Linked DNA regions of Caenorhabditis elegans. The protein of the gene in region 1 interacts with the protein of each later gene in a pairwise test. Each region holds a gene or a part of one and is shown on either strand. Other genes may lie near its edges. The genes, in order: nhr-66 and nhr-49.

The links.
Region 2: the proteins of nhr-66 (region 1) and nhr-49 interact in a two-hybrid assay, tested with the Caenorhabditis elegans proteins (3 studies listed by BioGRID).

The regions. Positions count from the first base shown.
Region 1 is NC_003282.8:8,227,396-8,241,944, reverse strand, and holds the start of nhr-66 (Nuclear hormone receptor family member nhr-66), read left to right. Parts: upstream 1-5,362; 5' UTR 5,363-5,367; coding exon 5,368-5,436; intron 5,437-5,741; coding exon 5,742-5,910; intron 5,911-6,035; coding exon 6,036-6,120; intron 6,121-6,930; exon of another isoform or gene 6,931-10,108; coding exon 10,109-10,422; exon of another isoform or gene 10,423-12,590; coding exon of another isoform or gene 12,591-12,612; coding exon 12,613-12,696; intron 12,697-12,876; coding exon 12,877-12,950; intron 12,951-13,009; coding exon 13,010-13,160; intron 13,161-13,426; coding exon 13,427-13,498; intron 13,499-13,553; coding exon 13,554-13,906; intron 13,907-13,955; coding exon 13,956-14,275; intron 14,276-14,549. Other genes in the region: T09A12.8 (AraC family transcriptional regulator), read left to right, coding at 293-400. UniProt on the Caenorhabditis elegans protein: Transcription factor. Binds to regulatory elements and regulates transcription of target genes, including the potassium channel accessory subunit mps-2. Negatively regulates transcription of mps-2, thereby modulating age-dependent memory decline.
Region 2 is NC_003279.8:9,863,424-9,880,034, reverse strand, and holds nhr-49 (Nuclear hormone receptor family member nhr-49), read right to left. Parts: upstream 10,318-16,611; coding exon 10,248-10,317; coding exon of another isoform or gene 10,244-10,247; intron 8,808-10,243; coding exon 8,710-8,807; intron 8,124-8,709; coding exon 7,982-8,123; intron 7,342-7,981; coding exon 6,986-7,341; intron 6,937-6,985; coding exon 6,373-6,936; intron 6,325-6,372; coding exon 6,214-6,324; intron 6,076-6,213; coding exon 5,911-6,075; downstream 1-5,910. Other genes in the region: Nuclear hormone receptor family member nhr-69, read left to right, coding at 1-8, 56-161, 207-305, 577-645; inx-20 (Innexin), read right to left, coding at 916-1,052, 1,392-1,484, 1,530-1,653, 1,700-1,876, 1,927-2,133, 2,197-2,293, 2,342-2,592, 2,698-2,783 and 3 more; K10C3.5 (Elongation factor-like 1), read right to left, coding at 11,105-11,440, 12,207-12,773, 13,653-14,198, 14,960-16,050, 16,101-16,203, 16,395-16,436.

The DNA.
Region 1 (14,549 bases):
CGAAAAGTTAATCGTTGTCCTGCCATCGAATCTAAATTTGTGTACCGTATATCTAGAATCCACTTGATACCAATGACTTTTACAAGATGTTCTCCTAGGAAAAAAGTAGTTTCCTGTAAACGCGCTCAAATACGAAGCCTCTTAATAACCTGATTTTCGTAGTTTCCATCGAAAAGATTCATATCGGTCGGATGTCTATAGTAAGAAATTTCGGGCGTGTGAAGAAGAAAAGAAGGAAAGATATCTTTTGATCAGTGTTCTAAATGAGACATGAGGCTTTTTCACTTTTTAGGCGAAGATACAACGTCATCGTCTGGCATGTGTCTCTGGATGTTCGGTTCGTTGTGACATGGTAACACGGAGAAGGCAAAGACCAGCAGGACCTTTTTTGTGTCTGTAATATGAGTGGCTGAATGAAAAGAGAGGGGGACGGGGGTCTTCCATGTCCTCCCTCGTTCTTCCTCCTTATCAAATGCCTCCATCTTTTCTTGTTACCTTGACGCGAGGAAGGTTCTCACTACAACCTCAAGTGACTGTCTTTCTCGCCCTGTTATAATACCCCCTTCCCTGTCTCTTTTTTCTTTCAGTATTCCTCGTTTATAGAATTCAAAACATTTCTAATTTTTGCGACCTCAACTTTGACAGCTTATGTTTCAGTTTTGGGGTTACCTATACAAAAATCTAAACTGACAATCTATTTGTTATTTCTTTTTCATTCGATTCGCAGTTGATTACTTATTGATATCTCTAAAATTAACTGAAATTTAACTTTCTAAAATGAAGTAGTACAATACTATCGAAGGAAATACTGTATACACAAGAACAAACTGAAAATTCTATAAGTTCACTTCATCTCGAAACAAACTACATGATTCATGAAATCAAAAGCCTAACCACGAGAAAGTGATTTGATTTTCTTGCAGATTTTTGATTCACGACAAATGATTTGAAGGGCCACTTGTTTTAATGAACAATCACAAGATGATGTGACCTTTTATGTGTCGTTGTGTCTAGTATCATTTTATCAGTTTTGCCTGTGTTGAATTTCTAAAACAAACAGTTGAAGGTACAACAAAAAAGAGATTTTTAAGTTTAAAATGTAAAAGTTGAAATTTAAAATCCAAATAAATTTCTAACAGAAAATTTGGAAAAAAGCTTAAATCAAAAAATGTCTGTGAATACAATTGCTCTCATAATTAATTAATTCGGTATTTTGCTCTAGATTCATACTCATCTTCAAATTGGCTATTTTGCTTTTCATTTACTCTTTCTTTTCAATTTTAAATTAAAAACCCGATTCGATAAATCTCCGCATTCTGACCTTGTTTCGTTGTGTGCCCTTTTACGGTTCTGCATAGATACTTTTATTGTAAATTTCCTATCGTTCAGAATCGATTATAATTTCTATCAGTAATTTGTTAAGGATTTTGTTAATTATTTATGTTTATTTATCCTTCTGGTTGGTCAAAAAGGATTTTAATGTTAAAACGTTGCGTTAACATAAGCAACATATCGCAAATTGATTTTCAATAGTTTTCTCTTATCTCAAATGATATTGAAGCTTTTTAAATCTTAAGATAAATTAATGATACAAATATTATCAAAAGTCCAAATTTTTCACACGTCATGAAAATGTTTTTTGTAAGAAATATTTATCGTTGTCCTCTTTCAAGCTATGAGATGACGAACAAGTTTGTGGCCAAGTTTTCCACTGCTCATCTAAAAAATCAAATAACTTTCAAAAAGTATATATTTTATCTTATATGTTAATAAATATCATTAATTTTCTTTTCAACTTTTCAAATGATAAAACTTTCTCCAAAACCGACTCATAAAATAACTCCGTTACCCAATAAAATGTACCGAGTGTCCAGGTCCACCAAAAAGATCCTATTTTTCGGGTATCTTATCTATGTTATTATTCCATCTTTTCCGATTTTATAATAAGGTGAAAACAGTCAATATAATAAAGAAATAGGGTATATTCATAATTACATCCTATTATTTCTTCAAACTTTTCATCCTTATTTTCTTATCATTCATTTGATCTATATGTATTACCGCCCATCTATCTAGGCTTCACCTCATGAAATAATATTCTTGTTTCTTTAACTGCACTTATACAATCATATACACACATACGCCCATACAGTTATCGTGTTTTGTAGCAGTTTCGACGTATTGAATGAGAGATAGTCAAATATTGAGCATGTTGTAGTTTGTACACAGCTTTTCATCACAGACATCAACTTTCTCAAGTTTGCAAACAAAAACAATAAGTTTAAAATGTAAATAAGAAAACTACATTCAATTTCCAAGAAGCTCCGCCTATTTTGCTGCACTCGTTCTATTGGACAAACTTGATACACAGACTCCGAATAAATCTTTCTATCTTCTTTGTCAAACGAAAGTTTATACTTTGAAGGTAGTTTTTTTTAATATTTCAACCTAGATATCTTCTCGGCATTTTTCTAGTCTTTGGCTTTTATGGGGTACTTCTCTGCAGGCTCCAGGCGTGGGACTCTAATTTTTGGTAATTATGAAGTGTAGATTTACTAGGTCTTGCACGCGGATTAATTTTTACCATATACGTTTTACTGCAAAATTAGGCTGTTGTGTTTTTAAAGCTTCCCGAATGTGACCGAATGGGAAAAATTACATGTAATCTCTACATATAGTTTCAAATTGAAAGCAAACCGGTTAGAATATGCACTCAACGTAGGTACGACTTTGCAATCATGTCTAGTTTCTAGGCAACCTTACGTACCTACTTTCAATGTACATACATAAACATTTTTCATTCTTTCTCAACAAGAGATGGGTAAATCTTAAGCTTTCCACTTGGTTAAAAATAATTAAGACACACCGTTGGGAAAAAATGATTTGAAAAACCCCTTTAAGAATCTTCTTTTTAGAATAATTTGTTTATTTTTTTAATGTTCTAGCCTAAAAACTAAACATACTTTCAATCTGATCTACTTTAGAATTAATTTTTTTGAGTGTACATTAGTAGATTAGACTGGTCTCTAGAATATTTTCTATAACAATTTTTTTAAACACTTTCTCTTGTAATTTTCTTTTCGGTTTTTTTCAACGATTCGAAGATGTTCGATCGGTTGTCCGAATTCCGTGTTGATTGTTGTCTAGTCTTAGAATATCCTTCCCGCCTTTCAATCCATATCTCATTCATCTGTCTTGTATGGTTCAATATTTCAAACATGGAACCTCTGATTCTTACATCGCCCGATTTGAAGAGATTTTTAATACTCAAAAATTCAAGATTTTATGTTTTTACGAATCCTTCTGAATCACTTTCTTAAAACCGTACAATTGACATTGTCTTTTGTTTTTTCTCGTTTGGTTTTCTTGATTCGTCATGATTCGTTTCAAATACAAAACCGTCTCTTGCTTGCTACCAACCGTTTGTCCCATTTTTGTTTTTTATGATGAAAGCGAATTTTATACAGTATGATGCCTCTTTTTTCGAATATTGTAGGAAATTTTGTTGGATACTTGAATTGATTTTTAATAGAAAGTTTTCAATTGTTCATGTTCAAATCAATTATAAACAAAAGGCTTGGACCAAAGATAACTACTTCCTATGTTTTAAATTGAAACCAATAATCAAAATGAAGGCGATAATTGATTTTTTATTTTTATTTTCCGGATTTCGAGCGAGACTCAACTCTCAAACTCAAACTCGCGTCATTAAGATAAACGAGCATCTACACTTTTGGTTGCAAAAACTGCAAAAAAATTTTTTTTTAAACTATTTCCCAATTGATAATGCTTTCAAGTACATTTAAATGAACGTCTTCAAATATCAGCAAGCAAATTACAGTAACATTTCAATTCATGTTTATTTAGTTATACCAGAAAAAGTGCACCTGCCATTTACGCACTGTTTTATGGATTGAATCCATGACTTCTAGGCAGGTAGGCATGAAGTCCGAAATCTTGCTGCTGACTTGAATGAATCCCTAAACGAAAGCTGTCAAATACTTGAAAGAACACATTTGTATTCTTTTTTAATGTGCTTCTCGGAAAATTTTGATTTTTAAATGTTTTCTGCTACACTACGAAAATTTTCATAATATTCGCTAAATTTGCACGTGTTCAGTGAGCCTAACAACGCGACATGTCTACAAATATCTAGACACGAATGTATTTCTAACATTTGAATTTTTCAACTTCTTATGAGAGAAAGTCTTATGAGAAAAATCAAACGATGAACAGCTGAAGCATAACAGAAAATAAAAACATTTTTTCATTTCGACTATAGTTATAATTATTTACCCACAATGCCTGATTTCTCGAATTTTCATATTTTTTGTTCTTCTCTAAAATCTCTAACAATAGCCAAAATGTAGTCTGTTTTAAAGTTATTATGCGAGAAGCTGTGCACATATCCCATCTCGAGCCCCTTTTGTATGCACACTGCTGAGCATCAGAACGGACGGTATGCTGCACATCCCTCGTGACTGCGTATAATATCCACCCGATTTTTGTGTGATTAGCTGCAGAATATCGTATATCGAGGCGCGTTTTCCATTTGTGGCGATAATGCACATTTTTACTGTTGAATTCTCTTTTGAGGCTCCATAAACCACAAATAATGCGACGATCGTGTATTACAAATGTTCGACAACTGTGATTTCTCTGATTTCATCTTACTGTAGAAATAATTTCAAACTTCGCGCACAAATGGATTTCACCAGAGCGCACTTGCTGTATTCTTCGGTAGCAAATTTTTTCCAGCGAAAAGCATTTCGAAAAGCCTGTAAGCTTTCGTGAAATGAGATAATTTTTCGTGAAAAACGTTTCTACAATTTTTATCAATTTATTTATTTCAACATCTTCAAAAACATGTTACGTTCTTAAAAAAATACCTTTTAAAATTTACTATTAGCGAAAAATTGCTGAAAATTTTTGTTTTCTAAGATTATTTTTGTCCCGATGGTGTCGTCGTCACAACATCTCATACATATATACAGATAAAGAATAAAAGCGAATCCATTAGATTGGCGCATTTGATTTCTCGTTCAATCCGTCCTTTTTCTGCTGATCTTTCACGTGTCTCCTGCCGGCGGCCCCGCCCATTTTCTCATACTTTCAATTTTCAAGGTCCTTTTGTCAGTTCAGTATTCTAATTTTCCTCGTTCCTCGATGGCCTTCCGGTTACCTTGCTCTTGTTACAAAGCTCTCGCGAGCAAACTTCAGCCCGCCTCTTTTTTGAGAACTCGACTTGTGCTCGCCTGCTCTCTGTTGAGCTCAATTTATTCATTATTCTGATCGCAATTTTGTTTCGAATTAATAAAATTAGAAACGTCAACTATTTTCAGATTTCTTTCAGACATCTTCTATGGAATGCCGCCAATCAATGAGCCCACAGCGACGACAACATCAGCATCGTCGGTGTGGCAAGGAATGACACAGGTTTGCATAAAAATTGAATTTTATAAAGTTTAATATCAAATTTCCTATTAATATTAAATAGAATTCTATAAAATTTTATGCTTACAATAAAAAAATTGATTTTTTAAATTGTATCGTAGTCTCTGGCACAACGCAGGTAAATCGTTGCGAGACCAAGCCTTCCTTTGAACCATTTTCTTCAACAAATTGTTTCTTTTTTGTGGTTCCCTGCGCGCACAAATTGTATTTTTTTTAGTCGAAAAACTTGTTTCTTTGAAGAATTCATGAAATTTAATAATTAATTCAATAAAATATTTTATTTTCAGTTAAAATCTCAAGTCGACTTGATCAATATCGCTCGAGGAATTCTCTCAACCCCCGCAACAACATCAACATCATGTCTTGACATCCAGAATTCGACACCGATCATCGGTTCGTTGGCCTCCGGGAAATCCCAGACGCCAATTCTCACAGCGACAATGACTCCACAAATCGGTACGGTAGATTGTTATTGTCAATCAAGAAAAATGGGGGAGAAATGCGCGGGAGAAATTGAGTCGTAGTTCGCGTAAACAATTGTTGTTTTCTCTGAAATATTAATCAATCATGCTCGTTTTAAGGACTCACTGGGCTTGGTTCGTTGACATCGTTGCCTCCAGAACTTCTACTACAGTTCGCTAGACTGGACGGATTCAACTTATTACCGTGAGTTTTTTTTTCTTTTGAAAATTCAAAATTTTGCCGAAAATAGGCAGTTTTTTGTATGGAAAAAAAATTGCAATTGGAATTCAAAAAGAAATAATCAAAAAGTTGAACCTTCCGAATTAAATTTGAATTTTGATCTTTCATTATTATCTTCGCTCAAAGTCTTGTGCTTTGATCCATATCTTTCCTCCTGCTCTGTGACTTTGTACTTTTCATCTGTCTGATTTCTGCTTGACAACGCTGGAGTGTCTGATAAATCTAATCAAGCTGAGCAGCGCTATTTTCTTAAAAAATGTGATGTTACATACAGAAGAGACATAGAGTACATTGCTAATTCATAAGTTTAGAATAAAGAAACTCAAAATCAAAGAACAAAGTCAAATAATCCTTCATAATTTTAGTTGGTTGCCCTTGTCATTGGGAGCAGACTTCTCATATATATATATAAATGTGCATGCGCGACAACGGAAATGCAAGTAAAAGAGCATTGAAACAAAGATCCGTTGTATGTTGCATGACACATGAGTAGTGGAGAGTGTGGGAGAAAGGTGCAGAGTACAGCTGACTGGCATGCTCCTGTCGTTGAAATGTGTAGAAATGAAGGGATTTCTGTGCTGCAACGTTCCAGAGATACTTGTTGTAAGAAAGCTTCATTGTAATCATCTTTTCTCGACTAGACTGAAGTTTATATGTGCACCTGAAGCAGCTCTATTTTACAATTTGCAACTCACTTTTCTATGATTTCTAAATTAGTCGATGTGATTTTTCAATTATAAGATCAACGGGAACAAGTGGTGCAACATTATATTCAAGTTTTAACGGATTTATATAGCAACTTAATCAAGCTATTATATAAAAAGTCGAACACCAAATTGTTAGGTCTTCCGTCCATCGTTTAAAGCCCGAAGTCCTTCATCCATCCCCAATTGTCCGTTCCGCCTGACCATCGAAACAGCTTTGCAGCGCTCAATGACAGCAGATGCGCTTCAAAACAAACCGATAATAGGAGGAAAATTGAAGGGGTCAGAAATAACCCGCCTTGGTAGATCGGCTCCGTTTATAATTCCTTCCAAGCTAGCCGGCTCTCCGTTATTACTTCTTTGCCTCTTCCGTATATCCGAAACAGGTGGAAACTCTCGTCTCATTACCAACTCGTCGACTTTCTCTTTACTAAAGCTTTCCTCCTCTGACCCATCTTGTGCTTAACTGCATAATTTGAAATTCCCAGACTGCATGAGAACTTTTGCGTTGATGAGTCTCGTCTCTTTTTCTGCAAGGAAAAAAACCACAGAGAACCACACACAACGAGAAAGTTCAAAGGCTCAATGTATCATTTTACGTATTTCTCCTTTCTTTTCTTTCGCTAGCGCACACTTCAACATCCAAAAGCGCCACGTGTTTGTGTTTCGGGAAAACAGAAAACTGTGTGCTATAGCAAACTCAATACCCCATCACCGGAAACTTTCCGGTTTATCATCGCTTTTTGCGGTTTTTCTTTCGTGCGCCTGCCTGCTTGCAAAATACCACAAACTCATGTGTTATCGGTGTTGGCCTACAACATTTTCTATCATCATTTCGATGTTTATATAAAGATTTTTTCAAAAAGAAATGCATAGATCAGGATCGTGTTGATTCCAAAATGGAACTAGCAGGCTTTTGTCGTACTTTAGAACCTGGCTTATTGCCAAAATATTTCTATTCAAGTTGACAGCCGTTTGCTTTCGATTATTGTTCCGATGATCCCCATTTCGCCCTATTAAATGTTCAACATCTATTTGACAAACTCTAAAGACTACAAACTACGGGCATCTAGAATAAAGACGTTATCACTTGTTCTATTGTCCAGAAACTGTCATGTGAATATCTTATAAATCTCGTTGATCTTCAGTGGAAAAGCTGAATGAGACTAGTGTGTTAGAATATTGAAGTGATCTACATTAGATTGTTAAAATCTGCTGAAAGCCTACAATTACACATTTCAAAGCAGTTGAAATTAATTTCGCCAGTTTTATTTTGAATGGTGTTCATCGTGTAATCATTCGGATCGTTAGATCAAAACGATCAATTTCAGCGAATAGTCATGATAAAATGGTGACTTAGAGTTATCAGTTTGTGTTTATACTATAAACAACCGTTTGTGCATACGCAAAAATCGACTTTCGACTGTTTTAACTTCTTGTACAAAGATCGGGTTCACGAGGTGGCCAACCGTTTGTATTTTTTCGTAGAAATGACCTACAAACTAATAAGTATTCACGGACTCTTCTTCACTCCTGTGCGTAGTGTCCTTAGAGTGTTTGTCAATCCCTCGGTTTCCACCTTGTCCGCCTGACAGATCACTGGTGAGGGAAAGTGGCAGAGGGCAGTCGGAGAACAAGATAAAAGACGATGAAAAGAAAAAGAAAATTTCACCCATTTCGGTGTTCCTTTTCTTCTTCAATTTTTCCGAATGTTCCTTTATATTGATTCAAACAGCAAGAATTTCACGTGTTTAAGGAAAATGATAGTCAGCTTTTCCATAACCCAAACAGGTGTTAATCAATAAGATTCCCAAGCATTTATAGAGTTTTAATAAATTCTACATGCAAAAATTCGGACGGACGGCGGAGAAAATTCCCTACCTACCAATTTTCGTACTTATAGGATCACTGCTACGATTACGTTATTTTTACGTTTGCAAAACTTTATTTTGATGATACACCGGGTGATTATGTTTTGGTTTGAATAGATGAGGCTTAAGTGTGTTTTGAAACTAGACATTAGTTTCTGAAAAACACATCAGGTGGCAAAAAGTGCTTGGTACTTTACTTCAGTTCTGCCTGGCACCGATTTCAACCTTTGCACGATGTATAAAAGAAGAAGCCTTCTGTCCAAAAGTTCACCTTCCTACTTCCTTGCAAACATTTTCGCAATTTGCATTTGAATCGCCCCAGTCCTTCCTCGCGATTCGACCTCATTTACGCTAAAGATAGAATCATACATGACGGAAAGCCACGAGGCGCGCTTTTTCCAAGAGAAATCGAGAATGAAACAAATAAACGACAATGATGGTGTTGTTGCTAGGCACCTACACTACTTTCTCAACGTGTTTGTCCTCTGGCAACTTTTCTGCATAAAGTCTTCCTGTTGTCCACTTCCAAAAGAGATGGAGAAAAGTGTAAGAGAACGAGAAAGAGAGAGAGAGAGAAACACATGAGTGTGTCGCCACCACAAGACGACGTTGAAGCGAGTACGTGTGATGCTGGTAATGCCTGTGTCTCCATTTCCCTCTTCACGTATGCTTCATTTCCATCATCACGAAATTCAACAACGCCTCGAATTTCATAGATCCTCCAGTTTCTTCCGTTTCCTAGCTGTTTTCCGTTAATTTTATACCACCCAGTGCGGTGGTTTCTTGTTCATTTCATCCTTATTTGACTTGCTTCTTCTTCTTCTTCTTGATCTATGAAGTCATAAAACCGTAGTAAGATTGTGTATAACGATTAGGTGTCCTCTCTTCCATTCATTCAGTTTTTCCCGACAACGTCACCCACTCTCCAAAATGGATGTCCGCATTGTTGATGGAAGAAAGAAGACAAGTTTTTGATGCAAAAACTGACCATTTCTTGTTGTTTTTCTCTCATTTACAATGCTTCATCTTTTAATCATTTTAAAAAACTGTGTTTTCATTCAATAATTTTATCAATGATCTTATCGGTCAAAGATTTGTTTGCAAAAGTTTGTATTGAAATGTTTTTCTCTTTTTTGCAAGTTTTTTCGAATAAAAACCTCGATTCAAGTAGATTTTCATTTAGCAATTCTATAGTTATTGGAAGTTTTCTTTGATCTTGAATTCTTTTTTATATCAATTACAATTTTTCTATATGAAATCACAACTTTTCAAAAAGTTTAATAGTACTGAAAAAATCAATTTATGACTTCTAGTAACCGTAACTCGATTTGCGAAATATTCCATATTAAATAATTACCGTAATTTTTGTTTTTTTAGAGCGGTGGGCTCACCGGCGATCCCATCATCGTCATCGTGCTCCGAGCCGTCAACATCACAAGCATCTACAGTAGTTTCAGCTCCAACTCTTCCACCACCATCACCATTAACATCGCTGCCACAAAAGCCCGCCCCTTTGATGCCATCAGGTCATGTCACAACTGTAGATCAACAGAATCGACAGCAGCATCAGCAGCAGCAGAGGCAACAACAACAGGCTCAGCAACAAAATTCGATGGCTCGAAAATATTCAATGGATACGATACAGCATCACACAATGCAGCATCCACATCAGTTGCAATATATTCCAAATCGTGAGTTTTTTTTATTTGCAAACTATTTAAAATGAGAACCTTTTCAAAAAAAGTAAACTTTTTTTGGAAAATGATTCCGGTGGTGATGATGAAGATTTTTATCTATTTATAAAAACATTTTTTGAGCTCATGATTAAATCGAAATCCATATTTGGATCATATCTAATAACTTTCAATGAAGTATCTGACATAATTATTCCCTATAGAAACAAAAAGTGTATGCCTTCCTACCGACCGAGTACCTATTGCAAAATGCACACGTTACCATTTTTGAATTTCTTATTTGAATTTTCAACAAAATATCTGAGAATATCAAAAACCAAAAATTTATACCATAGTAAAACAAATAGGCAGGTACGTAGGCAGGTAGGCATTATGCAATCTCGAACACCCGAAGCCTCTCTAACTAGCTTAAAACTACATAGTTGCTTTTGAAAATTAAGGAAATCAGATTTTTTGCTCATGGCTTAATGGGGGTTCTGCTTCAAAAAATCCAAAATAGTCTGGAATTCAGAATTAACACAAAAAAAATCGGGAAAAAACCCAACTTTAAAAAACGTTATTTTTCAATTTTAATAAAAATTTCCCTGTTTGTATTTCCTCCAAAATGAGAATCCACGCCCATTTTCGAACTCCGCACACTCCGTCTGATTGGTGGAGAAGTGGGCGTCGTTCATTTCTTGCAGTTAATTTTTGGAGGAAATTCAAAGTGGAATTATAAAAATTTGCGTTCTTTAAAGTTTAATTTTTCATTCTTTCTCGATTTTTATTCTAAGACAATTTTGGGGTTTTTTGGAGCAAAAACGCCATTCACGCTCCACCTTTAAAGCATTTTGCTTCTTTCTTTTGGAACTTTTTTCTAAACGTTAAGTAAGTATTAGTTAGCTTTCGTACATTTGATTATAATCCCACTAGATTTGATCAGTCTGACCACATAAAAGAAACGATGCTCATGCTCAATGATCAACGTCAGAATGTTTGAACACTGTTGAGCTAACAGGGGAACCGCTAGACATAGGCTTCGTATATTTTCTTGTGTTTGGTCAAAGATCATAACACACGTGTATTTTATTCTAAAGTTGAATTTGATAGATGAACAGAGATTGGGAACAAAGTATGTGATTAGTGATAAGATCGTTGGGATTAGAGATTGAACTTGCACCGACGAAAAGAAATTACACTGGTGACGTTTTGGAGTCTAGACGAAAATATATTTTGATTTCTGCTGAAATGCTGTTTGAAAGTGCGAGAGAGATTTTTAGCAGAAAAGAAAAATGATATTTTGATTTTCTCCAAAAACGTTATAGGCTACAAGTTGAATGTGGCGACAATAACTATTTAATCTGCTTTTATTCTAATTTTGATATACTCGAGAGCATACAAGTGGTTTCATCTGATAATGTTGATCATGAAATATTATGTTAAGAAAATTATTTGGTTACTGAAAAAACTGAACAACATTTTCAAATTTGCACTAAATGTTTTCTACGTATCAGAAGAGGGGAACCCTATGATACTTTGATCTATGTCTCTCGCTGTCTCATCTTTTGCATTAAGTAGGTCTATGCCCTCCTCCTCCTCCTCCTCCTCCTAAACCTCCATATCGTACTCTAGTTTCATATTGGAATACCTGTGATGTCATTACATTTCGTCTCATACCTTTTATATTACGTCGCTCTCTCAATTTGAAACACTGTTTCCCTGGTATATTTTCAATGTAACGCCCTCTGTCCGCCCGACTCCTCGCGCGCTTCACCGCCACGCTCCTTACAACTGTTTGCTCAACTGATCACAGTTTGTTTAATGCTCGGTTCCCTTCACCGAGCGGACTGTGTCTCGGAGAGAGCAAAATAACAGAAACTCTTACCGTCTGCGTCTGCGATTCGCTCCCATCTCTTGCGTTCCACACAACTGCCACCCTCACGGGCCACTCTCTTACTCTCTCAGTCTCTACGTACTTCTCTATATAGTTCTCATCTATCTATATAGTTGTCTCTACCAGCATACCATCATCATCATCACTGTCATCATCAAAACCACCATCATCATTGCCATTGTACATTCAACACGCTTCGATTTATGTTTTAGAAACGTTCAAAAAATATTTGTTCTTTTTTTTCAAGAAAAATCCGAGAAAAAATCAAATAAAGATCAAAATATTAACTGTAATGGACGTGATTCGTCTTCTAGACTTCATGACTGCCTCAACTGATGTGTTCGCAGCAATGGATATGAGTCAGAAACAGTCATCACCTCCTGGAATATTTAAAATTGGTGAGTCTTTTTTAGTTTTCTGTAGGAAATTTCAGTTTTAAAAAAATCAGAGAGAAAAAATAGCAATTTTCGTGAATTTTCAAGCAATTCTTGCTCACTTTCGACCATTGGTCTGTCTCAATGTTAATTTCTTATCACTTCCCGCCGTCTTCTGACTATTCTATATTTACATTTCTCCAGTTGCAGCCAAGAACGAGCCGAGCAGCTCATCGAATTCGCAACCTGGCACACCGGCAATGGGTGATCGACGAGCGGTAAGTTCAAAATAAAAGTTTCTCCAAATTTTTTTAAAAATCTTTTTTTTTCAATTCAGGTTCCTGCTTGCGCCATTTGTGGTACAGATTCGACGGGTATTCATTTCGGAGTGGACGCGTGTGCCGCGTGTTCGGCGTTCTTCCGACGAACAGTTGTTCTCAATAAAGACTATTCATGTAACAAGGGAGGAAAATGTACAGTAGTCAAAGGTATGTACTTTGTTTCATTGTCGATGTACACATAACCAAACAATTGGTACCAGCAAGAGTTTATTATTGGGTTCTCCATAGAAAATGCACTTGAAAAGTTATCGTGTGATGGGTGAAGCAATGTGTTTTGTGATTGAACTTTGATACAATTTTGCACCTTTTCCGGTTTCTGTTTTACACTAGAACACGTCCCAAAAGAAGCTTTTAGGTGTAGTCAATCTAAAAATTCTTACTTTCGTTTAAAATCTAATAATTTAAATTTTCAGATGGATCAGCTGGTCAAAAATGCAGAGCATGTCGATTTCGTAAATGTATCAGTTCAGGAATGGATAAAAACTGTAAGTTTTTTTAAATTGTCATTCATTTTGCACATCAATGACTATGTTTTTTCAGCTGTTCAACATCGTCGTGATGCTATCGGAAAGTATTCGGCAGGTGTAAAACGAGAGCTGAGCCCCGATGCGGAATTCGAACCATCAGCTAAAGTGTCGACAGTTAGTGAACCGAGCACATCGTCGGGACCATCTGGAGGTTTCAATCAAAATGTTTCATCTCCGGCTGGAATTCCAAGAGTTCCAAGTACACTCCGAACAACACAAGCATCGACTTGTATGAACTCAGCATGTGGTCAGAAATCCGTTCTTCATGAGCTCATTTGTCGACAAAATTTTCTAACGGAACAACGACAACTTTTTTATGCTGGATGCTTAGGCGATTGGTTTCGGAAACCATCGTCTATTGAGAATGTATGTTTTAATAGCATTTTTAAATTTAAAACAATTTTCAATATTTCAGCAAACTCTCTCCGAACTCACCGACTTCTCGAGTTGCATGTTTCATTTATGGAAGATCGAACCTCGACTTGCTGCAGATTTTATGAACCGAAATCGATATCTGGATCCGTTGCCAATTGTAGAGAAATTAAAAATCTATCGAAATTTTGTGATAATGCGTCAATCCGTCGAAGAGCCTTACTTGACTTGGAGGCACGGTGGACTCGAGAAACGATGGTTCGTGATGCCCAATAATACGTATATTGACTTCAATAATATTGCCAAATATTTTGAAAATGGAGCACTGAAAGATCTCAAATTGGACTATGAGACGACGACAAAGTAGGTTTTTTTTTTAATTCATAGATGTACTGAAATCATAAATTCCCTACATTCACATAAAAAAAAGATTTTTGCATATCTCACCCGCATGGGTATCGCTAGGTGGACAACGGGTTACTGTAACTCGTCAATATTATATTGCATAATATTTTTCAAATAAAACGAAAAATTGCAAAAATAATGCAACATCGGCCCATAAATTGCCAAAAGTTACAGTAACTCGTTGTTCGCGGTTGAAAATGGGTTGAAAATTTCTGATTTTAGAATTCTTACT
Region 2 (16,611 bases), on another chromosome or scaffold:
CAGAGAAGGTTTATTTGACAATACTAGCTTCTATAACAAATGTAATATATTTCAGGTGTACTGACAAGGCACTTGAAAATATGGAAGACGAATCAATGGATTGCAGAAGTGGAAAGCTTTTGTTATTACTTCCATCACTTCAGGCTATTGCTCAACAATTGGTTAGTTACAATTGTTATTCAAATTAGTAATTTATGAATTTAAAGGTAGAAGATGTCCAACTTGCTCGTTTGTTCGGTCTCGTGAATGTCGATTCGTTAATGGAAGAACTTATTCTAAATGATATGAAACCTTCAGATCCACAGGTAATTTTTATTTTGAAAAGCAGAACAATGAAAGGAATATCTTAGTTATTGGCAACTTTCAAAACCTAAATCCTGAGCCCGGGGAATTTTATTTCAAACTCTTCCAAATGTGGAATATGCACAACAAATTTTGTTTAGTCTATCTAAGGAGAATAGGTCAATAAATATGCGGATTTCTTTTGTGCTTTGTGACTGTTAAGCTTATGGTGGTTTTGTGGAAGACCCTAATAAGTTCCAGAGACAATTTCAATCTCACAATTTTTGTTTTCAGATATTACAAACGAGTCTGGCATCACCGGTGAACTCGTCCGTTAAAGCAGAAGTTGAATTGGAAGAATAGTTTCCAATTTTCCAATATTTTATATTCAAGAGACCATAATCTCATCTTGCCTCCCTTCCTGCTCAAACCATCTAAATACTTCCAAACTTTGACTTCTAGAAATCGGGTCCCAACGGACACATTACTTACCTGCTCAAACCACCTCATTGTTTCCTTTTTCTATGTTGGTTTTATTATTATTTTAATAATTATTATTTCATGTCATGCAAATATTTGAAATTGTAACAACAATTAATTCGGTATCAGGAAAACAACAAAATATTGAAATTATTATACATTCGCAGCTGAAGCCATTCGGCTGCTTGGAGGTCGAAGGAATTGAGGAGCTGGTGTAGTTGGAGATTGATCCAAATGTAAATCTTCTCGACTCATGAGAGGAACCAAAACTGATGTTTTCCGTCGCAGACCTGAAAAGGGTGCATAGTATTCAGGCAAATGAGAACAAGTCTAAAATGTATTTATTTTTCATAAGCTATGAATGATACTAACACCTCTCGGAAATAGTTTCTCTTTGAAACTGACTCAAATTTTGCGAGACTCTTTTTTAACCGGATCATACTTTTTTAAACGGCAGAACAAATTTGCATTAACTAGATGAGCACCTTTATGATAATCAGTCTGAACATCTAGGTCTAGCCATCACAAAAAAAGACCGAGAATGCGTAATTCCAAATTGTTCGGTGGAAGAAAATGCATGATTCTTAGTACGCTTGGTCAGGTAATTCACTACGTTCTTGAAAACTTACTTGGTTCAATAGATAAACCACCAGCAGAAGCAGATCTATCATAGTCGTCACCGTAACTTTTATCTTCCAAAATCTCTCTGATTGTTGCATGTCCTAAAAATATATCCTATAAAAGAATATAATTCAAGTTCTACTAACCTGATTCTTGTAAAAACTGATCCCACATTGTATCAACAATATCCGTACACATAAGAATACCAGAATGTATTGTAATCATTCGTAACACGAAAATTCCATCGATTTTTATATAGTCACGAACAAACTGTAATTTTATTTTTATCTATAGAAGCCTTTCCCAACACTCTTACCTCATCAAGTTCTTGTTTGAATCGGCTTTTTTCGAAATTAACATCAGCCAATTCTAGTCTTCTAGCAATAAATTGTCTTCGTTGATTAAATGGAATTGATGCAAAAATCCATGAGAGTATGGATCCAAAGGAAATTAGAGATAACATGGTGTACCAGAGCCATAGAATGAAAAATATCTGGAGATATCGGTTTTTATCATTAGAAGAAGTTTTTAATGTTGATTTACCTTTTCTGTAAAAATATTGATAACAAGAACACACTGGACAGTATGTCGTTGTACATGTCCAAGTATTCTAATCTGCATATCACAATATGTTACGACGGGGAAATTTGAAGATTCTTTCCATCCTTTTCCCATTATCAAATCATAAAATATTCCATAACCGTAATATCGATGAGAGTCAAGTTCCAAGAATCTGCTCATGAAATACATCTGGAATTGTAAATTTATATAAGAGTTGCCAGCTGAAAATGGAAAAAAAGATTAAAAGTCTACCTGAGTCAGCACATTCATCAGAAATAAGCATTTTATTGCTAGATACAAGTAGGTCAGATATGATTCGTAGTAGCGAACGTTGAAAATTCGGAATACCCTGAAAATTACCATTTTCCAAATAATAAATTCCAAGAAAAAAACAGACTTATGATGGTAGGGATGCTTCTCTCCAATTCTGAATCGATGTTTAAAAACGGATGACAAATGAGCTGAAAGTCCACGAATATTTGCAGTTCGTTGAGTTGGAACCACATTTGCTTTGTCGTTTGCAAATCCCATAATATCTTTGAGTCGAATTCCTGATTTGTCATAGAAAAGTCGCCATATTAAGCATGGCGCATAGAAGCTGAAAGCCACGTAGACAAGGAAGAAGGGCACCCATTGATAATATGATACCTGGAAAATTGTGGTTATAGGAAAGAATGGAACATTGTAATTTTTCAATTTTATTGGCGATGGTATACAAAAAATTGTGAAGCTCCCAAATAAGGTGGAACTTACCATGGTATACTCCCTGTTAACAACTTCAGGAAGATTATCGTCCTCAAAAGCAGTAACGTATGTGTTCCGAGCCCAGCAGTACATTTCTGAATTAAATATTAATTTGTTAGATTATTTTTATTACCTGTATAATCTTCCCAACTACTCTTGTATTCTGCGGGAAGCCAGCATTCAATAGGTCGTCCTCCGAACATTTTAAGTGATATTAAAACCTGAAAAAGTTTTGCAATAAAACAATCTTCAATTATCACTCACAGCAGTTAAAAGCAAAAATGTTGTTGTATAATAGTAGTGTAATCTGTCAAATATGTCATCATCTGCTTGTGGTTGGAGGAATGAGAGAGTTCCCACTATTTCAGCGAAAACCATTCTGAAAATATAGGATCTTAAGAGGTACTTTAACAGTCACAAAAGTCAGGAGATGCAGAAATATTTAGAAAGAAGTTTACAGTGAGATCATTAATGAATTGATGATTTCACCAGGCCATTACAGTTAAAACAGTACTTGTATGAGTTTTAATTATGTTTTGAAATTTCAAAAACGCCAAAACCACTGATCCTAAACATACTCCACAAAGGGCAATTGTCAAAACTTGTCTTCCAGTCGTGTTTTAAATTTTGGTAATAATTTTCTGCAAATTTATGAGAACATCATATCAGAACTAGCGGAAAACTGAAATAAAACAGGCCTGCCTGCCATTGCAATTTAAAACAAACTTTCAACTTTCGATACCTTGGAACACGTGCACCAGGTGAACCACCCGTCTTATTAGAAGAAGCGGAATGTTGGGGAAGTGCTTGAGCGTCCATCGGTGGAGGGGGAAAACAGAACTCTTATTCCATAATAATAATAATAAAACAATACACACCGAATAGTAGATGTATTCAATTACAGTTTGTATAAGCCAAAGTTGGGTTACAATAACTTGTGAGAATAGAAACTGAAGAATAGTTTCCGAAGAATGTTTGAGGAATCAAGGTTGGCAGCAGTAAGTGCCAACAGAAATGTGGATTTTCCCACCGTTTTGTCATGATTGCACAGTTTCACGCGTACTCTCAAGATCATTCAAGTTCGAGTAAAAAATGGGGAGAATGCGACAGTTTTTTTGAACTCGGTGAGCTGCACAAGATTTTTTAGATTTTTTTTTGAAATTTCAAAGATCTTCGCGAGAAGACTATAGTTACATAGACTCGCAATGATACAAAATTTGAACGCTCAGTTAATTAAACTATGAGAAATGTCTGATTTTGTTGAGATCCGCAGATAAGACATGGGCGAGAACATTGAGAAAGCTTTGCTTTTAATAGAATTTACTTGAAAATTGAAACAATTGCTAAACTCTGAAGACTAGATCCACAATGTTGATGTTTAGTGAATATATGAGTGATGGACAATGACTCAATTCAAATATTAAGCCATGTCTACAGTTCTATATTTGAAAACTTGTTTGAACTGATTTTTAATAGTTTTTGAATGATTTCTGTATATATTAGATGATGTGATAGTTTTGACTGTTGTTTTATGGACGACAGTCATGAATTCAATAGTGTAGGTCAGAAAACGATCATCGTATAGTTAAAGTTGCACAGTGTGTAATACAGATGTTAACCCTACAACTACTACAGTAATACTGTCAACTTCTACAGTAATACTGCCACAAATTTTATGTATTGGTGAAAAATATTGAGACATGAATCCCGCAAATACTAGAACCTTAAATAAATATTTTCGGGCTAACTGTCCTACATTTTTACGGATTTACAATATTCTCTATAACTTGAAAAATTAATTTCTTTTGAGGTCTAGGAACAAATAAAGATTGAGTATAGAAAAAAGTGAATTGATAGACATGTAATGATGTATGCCTAGGTCTCACCACGATGGATTTTATTCCAAATTGAAGCCACAAAAATGTGTGCGCCTTTAAGTAGTACAGTAACCAACTTTCCCGAAGTTAACCTTTTCTTCAATTTTTGAAAATTTCTCTCAAGTTCTTAATAGAATTTTCTCTTAAAAATGATTGAAAACTGAAACAAGTTGTTACGGTACTTTTTAAAGGTTCACATTTGATTTTAAGAACAGATCTTAAAGAAAGATAAAATGTTGACCGTTTTGAAATCTACTACTAATTGTTAGTTACCAAATTCTTGTCTCAGAATGGAAAGAATATCAAAAAACCAAAACAAGCAACCCAAAAAAACTAAATAAAATGTCCAAAACTGGCTGAAGTGTATGTGCTCCAAGAGGTGTGAACTCACCCACCTAAGCCTAAATGCTCACAATTTCTTCATCTTCCCTCTTCCAATAGACATATCATCACTTTTACCCCGTTATGTACACTGTTCGGATCATTGAATTGATCTCAAGTGTCTTGGGAAATGGTCATATATCCACTATCATTTAGATGATCGTGTCAATTGAAATCAAAACAAAAATCATCAATTTGAAGAGTTTTAGAGAAATAAACAATTTAAAAAAATCTAATTTTGAAAAAAAAAACTAAAAAGCTCAGCTTCACCTCCAGCAGCTCACACCAGGTGCTCAAACATTTGGAAAACAATACTTTTTGTAAATTCTTCTAAATTTCTAAATTGCAATAAAACTTACGGTCTTGGTGGAGGTGGTGGAGGACGTGGCATTGAACTTCTCGAGTGAATTCATAATGATGAGTCAATTGTGTTTATTTGATACGAATAATAAAATATGGTATAATAATGTATTTTATCGATGAGCTTTGAAAAAGTATAAATAAAAGTTTCTTTTTGCAAACATAAATTGGTACGAACGCTTGAAAAGAAGGAAGGAAAATGGGAAGAAGGGAATCTTCTAAATAGAGATGGGAAATGCCAAGACAGTCACTTCTTATACATATTGAAGTACTAAACTGATAATTTGATTGACAATAATAATCACAAGAATAAACGAGAGCCAGCCCGTCTGGAAAAAAGATTAAGGAAGAAGAGTTGGGGGAGACGAGAACAATAACCTGATATGATATAGAGATGGCCTAGACAGGTTTCAAGATGAAACAACTACTGAGACGGAAGGGTATTCTTCTTTTGTTATGTACATTATAGCTGGGCTCTGGACTATTTTATAAATTGGGGGTAATGATTCAAAACAACAATAAGGGAAAAGATGAAAGATCACAGATTCGGAATAGAACTGGAGATGAGATGAGGTGAAGAGTTTTGGGAGAAAAAATGGAATTATTAGAGCATATGATTATTCTGCTCACTGTTCAAAATGGAATCTTGTGATTGGAGAGGATGAATTGCCAATGGAGCTGCAAGAGTTGCTGAGAGCATTCCAGTTGGTGTAATTCCAGAAACAGACGAAACACTTCCCACTGATCCGGCTGGATTTAACGGAGATACCTGAAAAATATGAATTTTGAAATGGAAGATCTTTTTTAAAAAGAGAATTTTACGGTTTTTCCCTGAAATCATTGGCCGTTTTCGCTATTTTTGTATTTTTTTAGAATAAAAAGTTTAATAAAATAATTAAAAACAAACCCCATTAGTCGGTAACGTTGTCGGAGATGAAAGATGTTGCTGTAAAGAGACCGGAGCCGTCGAATGATCATTGATGTCGTCGAGAATGAACTCGGAGAGCAGAGAATCCACCTGAAGCTATCATTTATGTACGGATTCAAACAAGAAAAGCTTTCATACCTCTGCCAATCCGAAGAACTTTGTAAGTGTCATATTCTCAATGAGCAGCTGAGTCAGAGCCTTGAGAGCCGGTGCCAACAACAAAATATTTCCATATCTTGTGGGTGCGTCATCTGGCATCTGATCGAGAATGAATGCATAAAGAGCTTTCAAAACACGATTTCTAGCATCACGAATCATAATCTGTGAGCTATTCGAGAGTCCTTTGGCTTCTGGGTGCAAGAATGCAAGTGCTTTCAAACATACAAATTCTTGTTCTCTCATCTGAAGTTGTCGCATTGGCCAGACAATTTCATCAAGAACTCTGGGTGTTATATTGCTTGTTTTGAATGCAGCAAATCCATTGAGGTCAGTGTTATTGTCACGTGTCATATAAGTATTGTTGAAGAGACAAACTCGAGTTGTATCGGGACTTCGAAATGCTGGCATCAAAATGAGATGTTGTGGTGCATAGTTTTTCAGTAGAATGATCTTATCTTCCATCGAAAGATCCATGAATGGATTAATTGTTTTTGCCCATTCAACCATCAATAAAAGTGTTGTCCTGGAGATTTCATTCAGATCCTGAAAATAAAACAATGTGACCTCTTAATTTACGTACCATCCAACTCACTACCTCGGTTGTGCATGGCCGGTTTGGTGGTGCAAATGCCGATGCTCCAGAATCACTTCCTTGTTGAATATCTGTGTCATTTCCATTCGACCCCCCACTGCCGTTTGCAAAGATTTGCGATCTTCGGTATCGATTACACATCTCTTGATTGACACGAGCCTCCATCTCCATTAAAGCATCAATGACACTGCTGGATTGTGGAACTGTTCGCATATTCTCTTGTCCCATACCGTTTGATCCGACACCGTTGCTGTTTCCGTTCTCGTATCCGGGGCTTCTGTCTTTTTTGAATGGAGTCCCGTTGAGACTGGCTCCAGATGTTGGTGAACCTACAGGATCACGTTCGAATTGAATAGCTGAAATATATTAAATTGTAGAATTGATCGTGGATGTGATTCAGATGATAGAACATGGACCTGAATGACAGAAAATAGTTGTTAAAATTTGTATTTTTGAATTCCCACGAAAATGAATGAAATATAATTATAGTTTACTATATTTTCGACATTTTTGCGTTTTTCGGTAATGTTTATTGTGGCTTTGTTTCAATATAATTTTTTGGTAAATTTAAAAAAAAAGAAATCATTCAAAATTTAATACAATTTTTAACAGTTATGTTCTGTCATTATGACTCTATTTCTTCTTTAAAATAACGAATTAAACATGAAAAAACATCCAAATTTTAAACGTATGTAGAATTAGATACGATATTTTGCTCCAAAATTATTTTTTCTAGATAGAAAACTACGAAACAATTTTTTTTTAGAAATATCGTGTTTTGAAATGGAATCTACGGACAGGAAAAGGAAAGAAAGAAGAATATATTCTAAATTCTGAGTTAACGGGGCAAATTTCCGAATCAATATCTCAAGTTAGAATCTTTTTTGCGGCCGATCTCATTTCACGGACGAAATTGAAAAGAGGTCACTGGTGAAAAACATGAGGCCACTGTGTTTTGGATATATTCAAATATTGAACGGAAAGAGAAATGAATACCTTCTCGTTTCATTCCAACTTGTACACACTTTTGAAAGCGACAATAACGACACGCGCATCGAAAGTTTTTGTCAATCACACATCTTTTGTTGAAACGGCAAGTGAACTTCTGATCACGAAGAACTGTTCGGCGGAAGAATCCCTGAAATTCATGAGTTTTATTAATGCGGGATAAATCATTAAAAAGTTCGAGATGATAATCATAACTTTCAAAAACCAGTTAAATTAATACGAACTTTTGCAACCATAAAGTACAGTACTCGGTCTCGTCACGAACAATATGTTTTCAAATAAAGCATGCGCGAAAAGCGTGGGTTACTGTAGGTGGAGTCAATATTACTTTGCTTTAAAGTGAGGAAATTGTTTTTTAAAAACTACTCCTGTGGTACCAAAGTTAACAAAAAAAGTTAGAAAATTTTTATTGACAGTAAAAACTGGCAATTACAGTTTTTGCCACTTTTTGAGAAAACTATAGCCCTGTCGCTTATCGAATCCCTATAGTGTTTGATTATTAATATTTGAAACATAAGTAGTCCATAAAATTATAAGGAAACAATTTTTTTGATCAACGACTTCCAAAAGTGGCAAAAACTGAGATTTTTCATTTTTCAAAAAAGGAAAAAATATAATTTCCAAAATCATTTTTCGTGACGAGAACTGAATTTATAATTTCACATAATTCTAAATATAATTTATTTTTTATTATTTTATAATTTATCCCTTCTCACCTTACACCCGTTGCAGGAAATGACTCCATAATGGGTTCCAGTTGATTTGTCACCACAAACGGCACATGGTTCCGCAAGAGGATCTACTAGGTCCATGACTGAAACAATTAAACTTTTTACAACAAAAAAAACAAATGAAACACGAAAAAAACCAAACAACAGATAGCAACGCAAGTTTTCAAAGTGAAAGAGAAACGACGAATGTCACTTGTTCATGGAAACGATGAAATAGTGTTGGAGGTAGAGAGAGTGTCAGACGAGTAGAGAAATCAGAGTCAATGCAATGGCTTTAACACATGATAGACACACAAGAAATAAGACAAAATTTAATATAAGTATTGATAAGCCTAATGTAAAATGTCCTGACGATACGGTGGATTAAAAAAAACGATTTGCCGTATCTATTGCAAATCGACTATGACGTCATAGTGTTTCAATGGTGTCTTTAGGAGTGGAACGCATGTTGTCTTAATAATAAAGGACCGGCAAGTGCACACAATTGAGATGCATTGACCACTAGGCAGATGAATGGGCCGCGTTCAGAAATTGTAGGTTTTATATTAGACCTTATTGGTGAGGATGTGGAGATAATTCAGCAGCATATAATTAGAATTTCCACTGCTAGAAGGACAAACTTGGTACTTTCAATTTATTGTTTCTGAATATAGAACAATTTTGAACGTATATTCAAAAAGACCGAAGCTCATGTAGAATGTTTTTCAATAAAGTATCCTAATCGAGTCCAATAAAAGTAGAAATTTGAACATTGAAAGGGCAAGCCGAAACTTGATAGCTCGGAAATTTCGAGCCTCCCAGTTTAGCAGATGTAGTGTAGGACTAAACGTGTTGCTATTGTAGCGAAAGTAGAGAAGATTGAGAAATCATCCGTCTTGAGCAAACAAAAGGAAACGCGAAGATCAGAAAAGGACTGATGTGGCACACTCTAAAACTGGTCGATGTGTTCGGCAAGATTCCAGTAGTCTTTCTCTCTCTCTGCTCACTCCAATGAGGTATTCTTAAATGCGGATGCTATTTCAAAGTCTTCTTGATCAATCTTGTCCGACGGATCGAATAAGATAGACGGTCGCGCTAAGTAGTGTCGTTCCTTTTCTCTCCAAGATCGTAAGATCTATATCTAAGGAGCGAGGAGATGTAATGCATCGAATAAGTGACCGACGAGGATCCAGTTGTAGGGTTTGGTAAATTCTGGTAGAAAATGAGGAGACACATCGAAGAATGACGTTCTAAGAGAAAGGGCATTTGAATTACTTTAGAACTTTTAGAAGAGCCAGGTTAATAAACTCAAAAATGTACATATTATTTGAACGTATAAAAATCCATATATACCCATATAGTGGACTTTGCAAAGAAGCCATCCAAAAATCATTCTATTAATTTCTGGATTTCAATGAGCAAGTCGCTGATTGGTTTTGTAGTTCTCAGTTTGGTGGAAAATTCAAAAAGGCATGAAAGTCGATATTTTAAAAGTTGACTTTCTTTCAATGTCGCTTGATGTGTCCGTTATAAAACTTACTTACAATCATCTGAAGATTCTTCATCAATTTGATTCAACTGAATATGTTTAGAAGCATCAAGAAAGTAGTCCATATCGTGAGAACGGAATGAGTTGACTAACAAAATGATGAGTATATACAAGGAGTTTGCGAATCACCCCATATAAACAGGAAGTGAGAGACTACATTATGTAGTTCAGTGTTGTTCGATGCCCCGTACTTTGTACTCTCAAAGCTAATTGGGACCGGCGTCGTCTCATTTAAAGTCAGTCATTAAATCTATGAACTTTTGATTGTGGAAAAAAGCTGAACTACTGGCAAACAGAAAGGAAACGAAAAAAAAAGAAAAGAAAATGGTGAAAAAGAAGAAGAAGCTAAAGCTGGCAGGCCAGTCGGTTAGAAGGACAAAAAAGAGACAGTGGTTGGTCAAACATGTCGAGAAATATGAAAAACTAGAGAGAATGGAGTTGACAGAGACACCAAACAACGACAGCCAACCACCCACAGCACGTTGACAATCGATAACAGGAGAGGCGCAGACCTTTAGAGATGAATAGATGAAAAGAGGTAGAGAAAGATTGTAAGAAAGTTCCTCTCGACCCTCTCTCCCGTACTACGCTATACCCATCAGGTCGTTGACACCACCACACGTGAATGAAACAGTGTTAACCGAGTGAAATTAAAATGTTTCAGATATGCCTTATATGATAAGTTAACATTTTTGGAGCAAATATTTTCGAAAAGTTCAAATTGATGATTTCAATTTAATTATTTCTTTGAAAAAAACGAACAAAAAAAAACAAGTAAAACAATCAACAAGATTAAAATGTGTCAAAACCGGAAATTCAAACAACAAAAAATATCACGAAACTAAAAAAAAATTATTTATTCTTTTTCAAATTCCTCTGCTTCTCCGCCGACTCCACAATCAGGTCCTCGGTTGGCAGTCCTTTACGTCTTCTAACTGCATCCATATATCCTCTTGCATGATTCGGACTGTCTCCCTTCAATCCGAATTCTTCAATTTCTTCCAATGTAGACGGCGTCCAGTAAGGATCCTCGTCAATGACTTGCCAGTGAGAAAATTGAAGTTGAGCAGAAGCCATTCCAGATGTGAACTTGCGAAGTTGATCACAGAAAGAGAACGATTCGACGACGGGCATTAGGGAGACCACTTCGAATAAATTTGTAGCTTCATTGATGTCCTCGGAGAGTACCTGAATTCAAAATTATTTTTTATTTAAAATTTAGTATTTATACAACGCCATTAAAGTAATAGTCAAAATTCGAAATTTTTGAAACAAAATGCTCATATAAATGAGATTGGATATACCGTATTTATTTGTTTAATCGGCACACTAAACCATAAAATCTATTTAGATTATAGTTGGAAAGAAGATTCATTCATTATATTCTCTCCATATATACGTTATTTGCACAGATGCGTCGAAAATTACAAAAATTAAATACTTCGTTCACATGCTCAATGGGCAAATCACATTAAATATTGACATGGATTTCAGGTTTATATTCGAAAACAAAAAAAAGGAAATTTTCGAAGCCGAAAAATTGAAAAAAAAGGAAAGTTTTGTAAATTTGAAATTATATATTGAAAAACTTAAATATTTTGGTCAAAATTTAACTTTTCATAATTTCGAGTGTCATTTTTAGAGCTATATCAGAATATTTCGGATTTTTTTTTCGGAAAAAAAATTAAAAATTAATTTTTTGTAAATTTGAAATTTTATTTTGAAAACTTGAATATTTTCATCGAAATCGCACTCTTTCTAAATTTTCTAGTGTTTTTTTTTTTTGAAAACATGTAAAATTTAAATTTATCAGTTATCAGGATTTTCGGTTTTTAAAATAGAATCGTTTTTTTTCTTCAAAAAAGCGAAAAATCTACTGCCCTGATGGATATAAATATTTAAATTTATAATCTCTAACTATATTTGAAAATGTTCTACAATTCTCCATTCCTACTTTCGATTTTCTTTGTGACAAAACGGCATGAACTTTTCCCAATGCCTGACTGGCTGTAGTTACAGTACACCGGTACATGGCAGCGACAAGGCGGAGTGCAAGTTTTTTAGCAGCAGCAGAGCATGAAGCTTTTATTGCAGTCATCATTTGTCCTCCAATAGCTCCATCTTCTTCATCAACATTCCATTCTTCAACAATAACTGCTATTCCGTGCATAATTTCATTGCAAAGTGGTCCAGTATTACAGAATAATTCAAATCCAGCGACAAGTGCTTGATCATATCTTCTAACACCAAATTCTGTTTTTCTCCAAACGGAATCTCTATCATAATTTTGAACATTATTGAATAGAATATTGGCTCTTGCTCTTTCTGGTCCAAATGCCCAAATTTGATCAATCATTGATTCAATCACTTCCTTCGGTTTTCGAAACCACCAAGATCCTTTCAATGTTGGAAGCGTTTCCAGACAAACGGATGTAAATCTTTTTTGGAACTCATCAATTTCGGTTTGATCGGCTTCTCCTCGACGAATCGATGAAATTAACGAAGAATTTTTGTCGAGCAACTGAAAAATTGAAGGTTCCTCGGCAAATCGCCGCAACTTATCCACCAACTTTAGCAACTTTAGAAATGCCAAGTGCAAAAGTTGCTAAATTTTGGTAAAAAAGTTGCTAAAGTTGGGCAAAATAGGTTAAAGTTGGGGATGCCCTCAAAATTTGCACTGAAAATTTTTCTAGAATTGGCTAAACTTGGTTAAAAAGTTGCTAAAATTGGTGGATAAGTTGCAAAACGCTAAAATTGGCGCTTAAGTTGCTAAAGTTGGTGTAAAAGTTGTGACGAAATGCCGAGTTCGTTGAGGATTTTGATTTAAATTATACATATAAAATTTCTCTGAAATGCATAATAACCTGAGAATTTTAAATTAAAAAAAATGTTCTCCAATAATTTCATTTCAATTCGGCAAAATTCCGCTTTGCTTCCTTTTTTCCCATTTATTATATTTTTATCGAATTTTTTAGATAACTTTGAAACCTTTCAAAACCAAGGGTGTCGGGTTTTTCCGATATTTTGATTTTTTTTTTGATTTTTCGAAAAATAGCTCGAAACTATTTATTGGTAATTATACCTTTTTTTAATTATACGTTTTCTGATGTTTCATTTTTTGAACTTTCGTTTTTCGATTTTTCGATTTTTCCTGAAAAATCGATACCGGTTAAAAAATTTTTTATTTTGCGGAGTGTTTTTTTTTCATTTTCAAAGAAAATTAGAACAAAAAAAGAAAATTTGGTCGCGTTACAGTAACCATCATGCGATTTTTTAATTCAAAAATGTTTCCGAATTAATTTTTTTCGCAATTTTTTAATTTTTTAAAAAGTACTAAATAATTTTCCTAATTTTAGACTATGTTTTTACAATTCAAAAAATTTCAAAAAAAAGTCCTAACCTCGACAACGGCATCTCCCAATGGAACAACTCTCAATTTGATATATAAAGCTTCTCGAATACGGCATTCGGTCTCTTGTTCAATAATTTGTGGTGCTGAGAGTACAGAATCTTCAATTACAGTCTCCATAAATGGAACAATTGGTTCAGAGACATCTAAATCCACAAGTCCCAAATCATTTAAATCCTTGATACATTTTTGTAAATGTACTTCTCCAGCTGTCACCATTGCTAATTCTCCATTTTCCAATTCCATCACTTTCAGACTTGTATCAAGTAGAGCTAATAATTTCAATTTTTCTCTTAAATCGTCCATATCATCCAATTGTTGAGTACTGATCGAAACTCTAACCAAAGCTTCTCCAGTTTGAGATCCAATTTTGAGACAAGGGAAATCCGGTTTCTCACAGAGAGTAGTATTTTGTAATAGAATTTCTGCATCAATAGTACAAATCATTCCTGATGTTACTGTATCGGTTGGAATTGAATCACGACCACGAAGAATTGAAATTCGATCGATTTTTGTAGAAGTCACTTCGCTGCTATTCTGAAAAAATATTTTTTCAAATTAAAAACAATTTTGAAAGATTTTTTTAGGACATAATTTCAAACAGGTTCCGAAAAAAATGCCAATATCAGACAATCTTCAAAAAAAATCAAAAATTATTTTATTAGAGATAATGTTTGTAGGAACCTATTTAACATGTTATTTTTTAAATATTAATTTAATTTATTTGGGTTTTAAAATATCGGAAAACCGAAAATGTTCGTTTTTCAATTTTTTTTTATTTTTTTTTTGATTTTCCGATAATTTGGGAAACAAACGATTTTCCAAAAGAAAAACAATAAAAAGTTGTTCCTTTTTAAAACAAAAAACATAGTCTTGTCTGAACATGCTTTTTTTCAATTTTTCTATTGACTCTGGAAAACCAAAAAAAAAAGAAAATTTTGTATTTTTTTTGTGACACCTTGGTAGGCATAGCTTTTTTTTTTTGGAAAAATTGTTTCCTTTTTCGTTCAGAGAAAAACTCGAATTTTAATAATTTCCGCTCATTTTTTTCATTGAAATTTTTTGAATTATTTTTACATCAAAATCAAGATATATTTGCTACATCTTTAATTCTTGTAATTTGCGAATAATATTTTTCAACATTTTTTTAAATTAGAAAAATCGAAAAATTAATTTTTTTTAATTCTCTAATAATTTATTTCGAGGAAAAATAAAATGAAAACAGTAAATTTTTCTAATTTTCTTCCCAAAATTATTCCAATTTCGATTCTTCGAATATTCTAAGAAATAAAACTCACATTTTGTTGTTGAAGGACGTATAAAGTGTCTCCTTTACGCAGTGTCCCACTGAGAACACGACAAATTGCTCTACGAGAAGTGAGATTTTTGTCTTCTGTCTGAAGAAGTTTCACAACAAAAACCAGTGTCATTGCTTCAGGATTACATTCGAGAACGAATTTTCTTAATGGATGATCCAGACGATGACCTGTCAGATGATCCAATCGATGTTGAGTATCAAATGTTGATCTAACATTTGGAGCTCTTGCTACTGCTCTGAAACTTGCTTTTGGAAGTGGCAACCAAGTTCTCATAAGTTCGTCGAAAGCTTCATTGGCTCTTCTGGATTTTAAATTAATTCCAAGCTTTTTTGCAGCTTCGGCAAGCTTGGTAGCATCATTTTCAACAAGTCCAAGATCGTGAATTCTCCAAAGTGGTTCTAAAACGATTCTTTCGAACAGTGTTGCCTTATTCTTAACTGCTGCTCCATCTCTGATAGACCCAGTCGAATCAATCCAAAAATCTCCGAACATTGCAGGAAGTAATGCCGATTTTTCTACTTTCATTTTTTCAGCAGCTATTTGAGCAAAGTCTTCGCATCCAAAAGCGTATGAATGAAGTGCTGATGAGAAAATAACATTTCCTTTTGCAGGATCAAAATGAAGTTTTGCTTCCGATTCTTCGATATTTCCCCATGTATCATCTTCTAATACAATTCCTCCAAGAACCTGACTAATGCAACTATTGACTCCTTCAATAAGACGAGACATATGTTGATATGCTTCACTTGACGACATTTTCAGTTCAACTCTCAATCGATCGATTTTATTGATAACAAGAATCATTGCTTGACCATTTCTGATAACTTGACGAATAAGAGCTTCTGTTTGTGAGCAAATTCCTTCAATAACATCAATCAACAGAAGTGCAATATCGGAAAGAATCAATGCTGACGTCACTTCTCCAGAAAAATCCACGTGTCCCGGACTATCAATGAGATTGATGAGAAGTGGCTCACAGAGCAAACTGATTCCACTGGATTTCATAGTAATTCCACGTGTTTGTTCATCTTCTCGACTGTCCATATAACGTAATTTTCCCGCCATTCGACCTGAAAATTTAGATAATCGTTGTCGAGTTAGACATTTTTAAAGTTTTTACTAGAAATAACAGCATTGGCTGAAACCAGAGAATCTGCAAAACTGGTTTTTCCATGATCCACGTGAGCGACAAGACAGACATTTCGGATATGCTCAGCGGGTTTCTGCAATTTTTTACATAAATTTTCAAAATAGCTTTAAATTTTGGTCATTTTCCTTTTTTTTTAAATACATTTATATGTATACTTACGTTTTTTTACTCATCAACGTATAAAAAAATGTGAGGAAACTTAAAAATCGTCGGTTAAATTCTTTTTTTTTTATTATAAAAATTTTAATCTAAAAAAGTCCTCACCGTTGCCGCTGCCTGTTTTAAAGCTGTTTCAAGGCTTTCCATTGCGTCAGTCTGAAATAAAATATCTGAAAATCTGTAATAGCAATTTAAGAAATATGCGAGAATTTTGAATACTCCAGAGATCTAGAGTAACAATATTGAAAACATTTAATTATTAATTTTTATTTGATTTTATGATGTTTTTGATCTTTCGTGAGGGTTTTTGCAATATAATTCA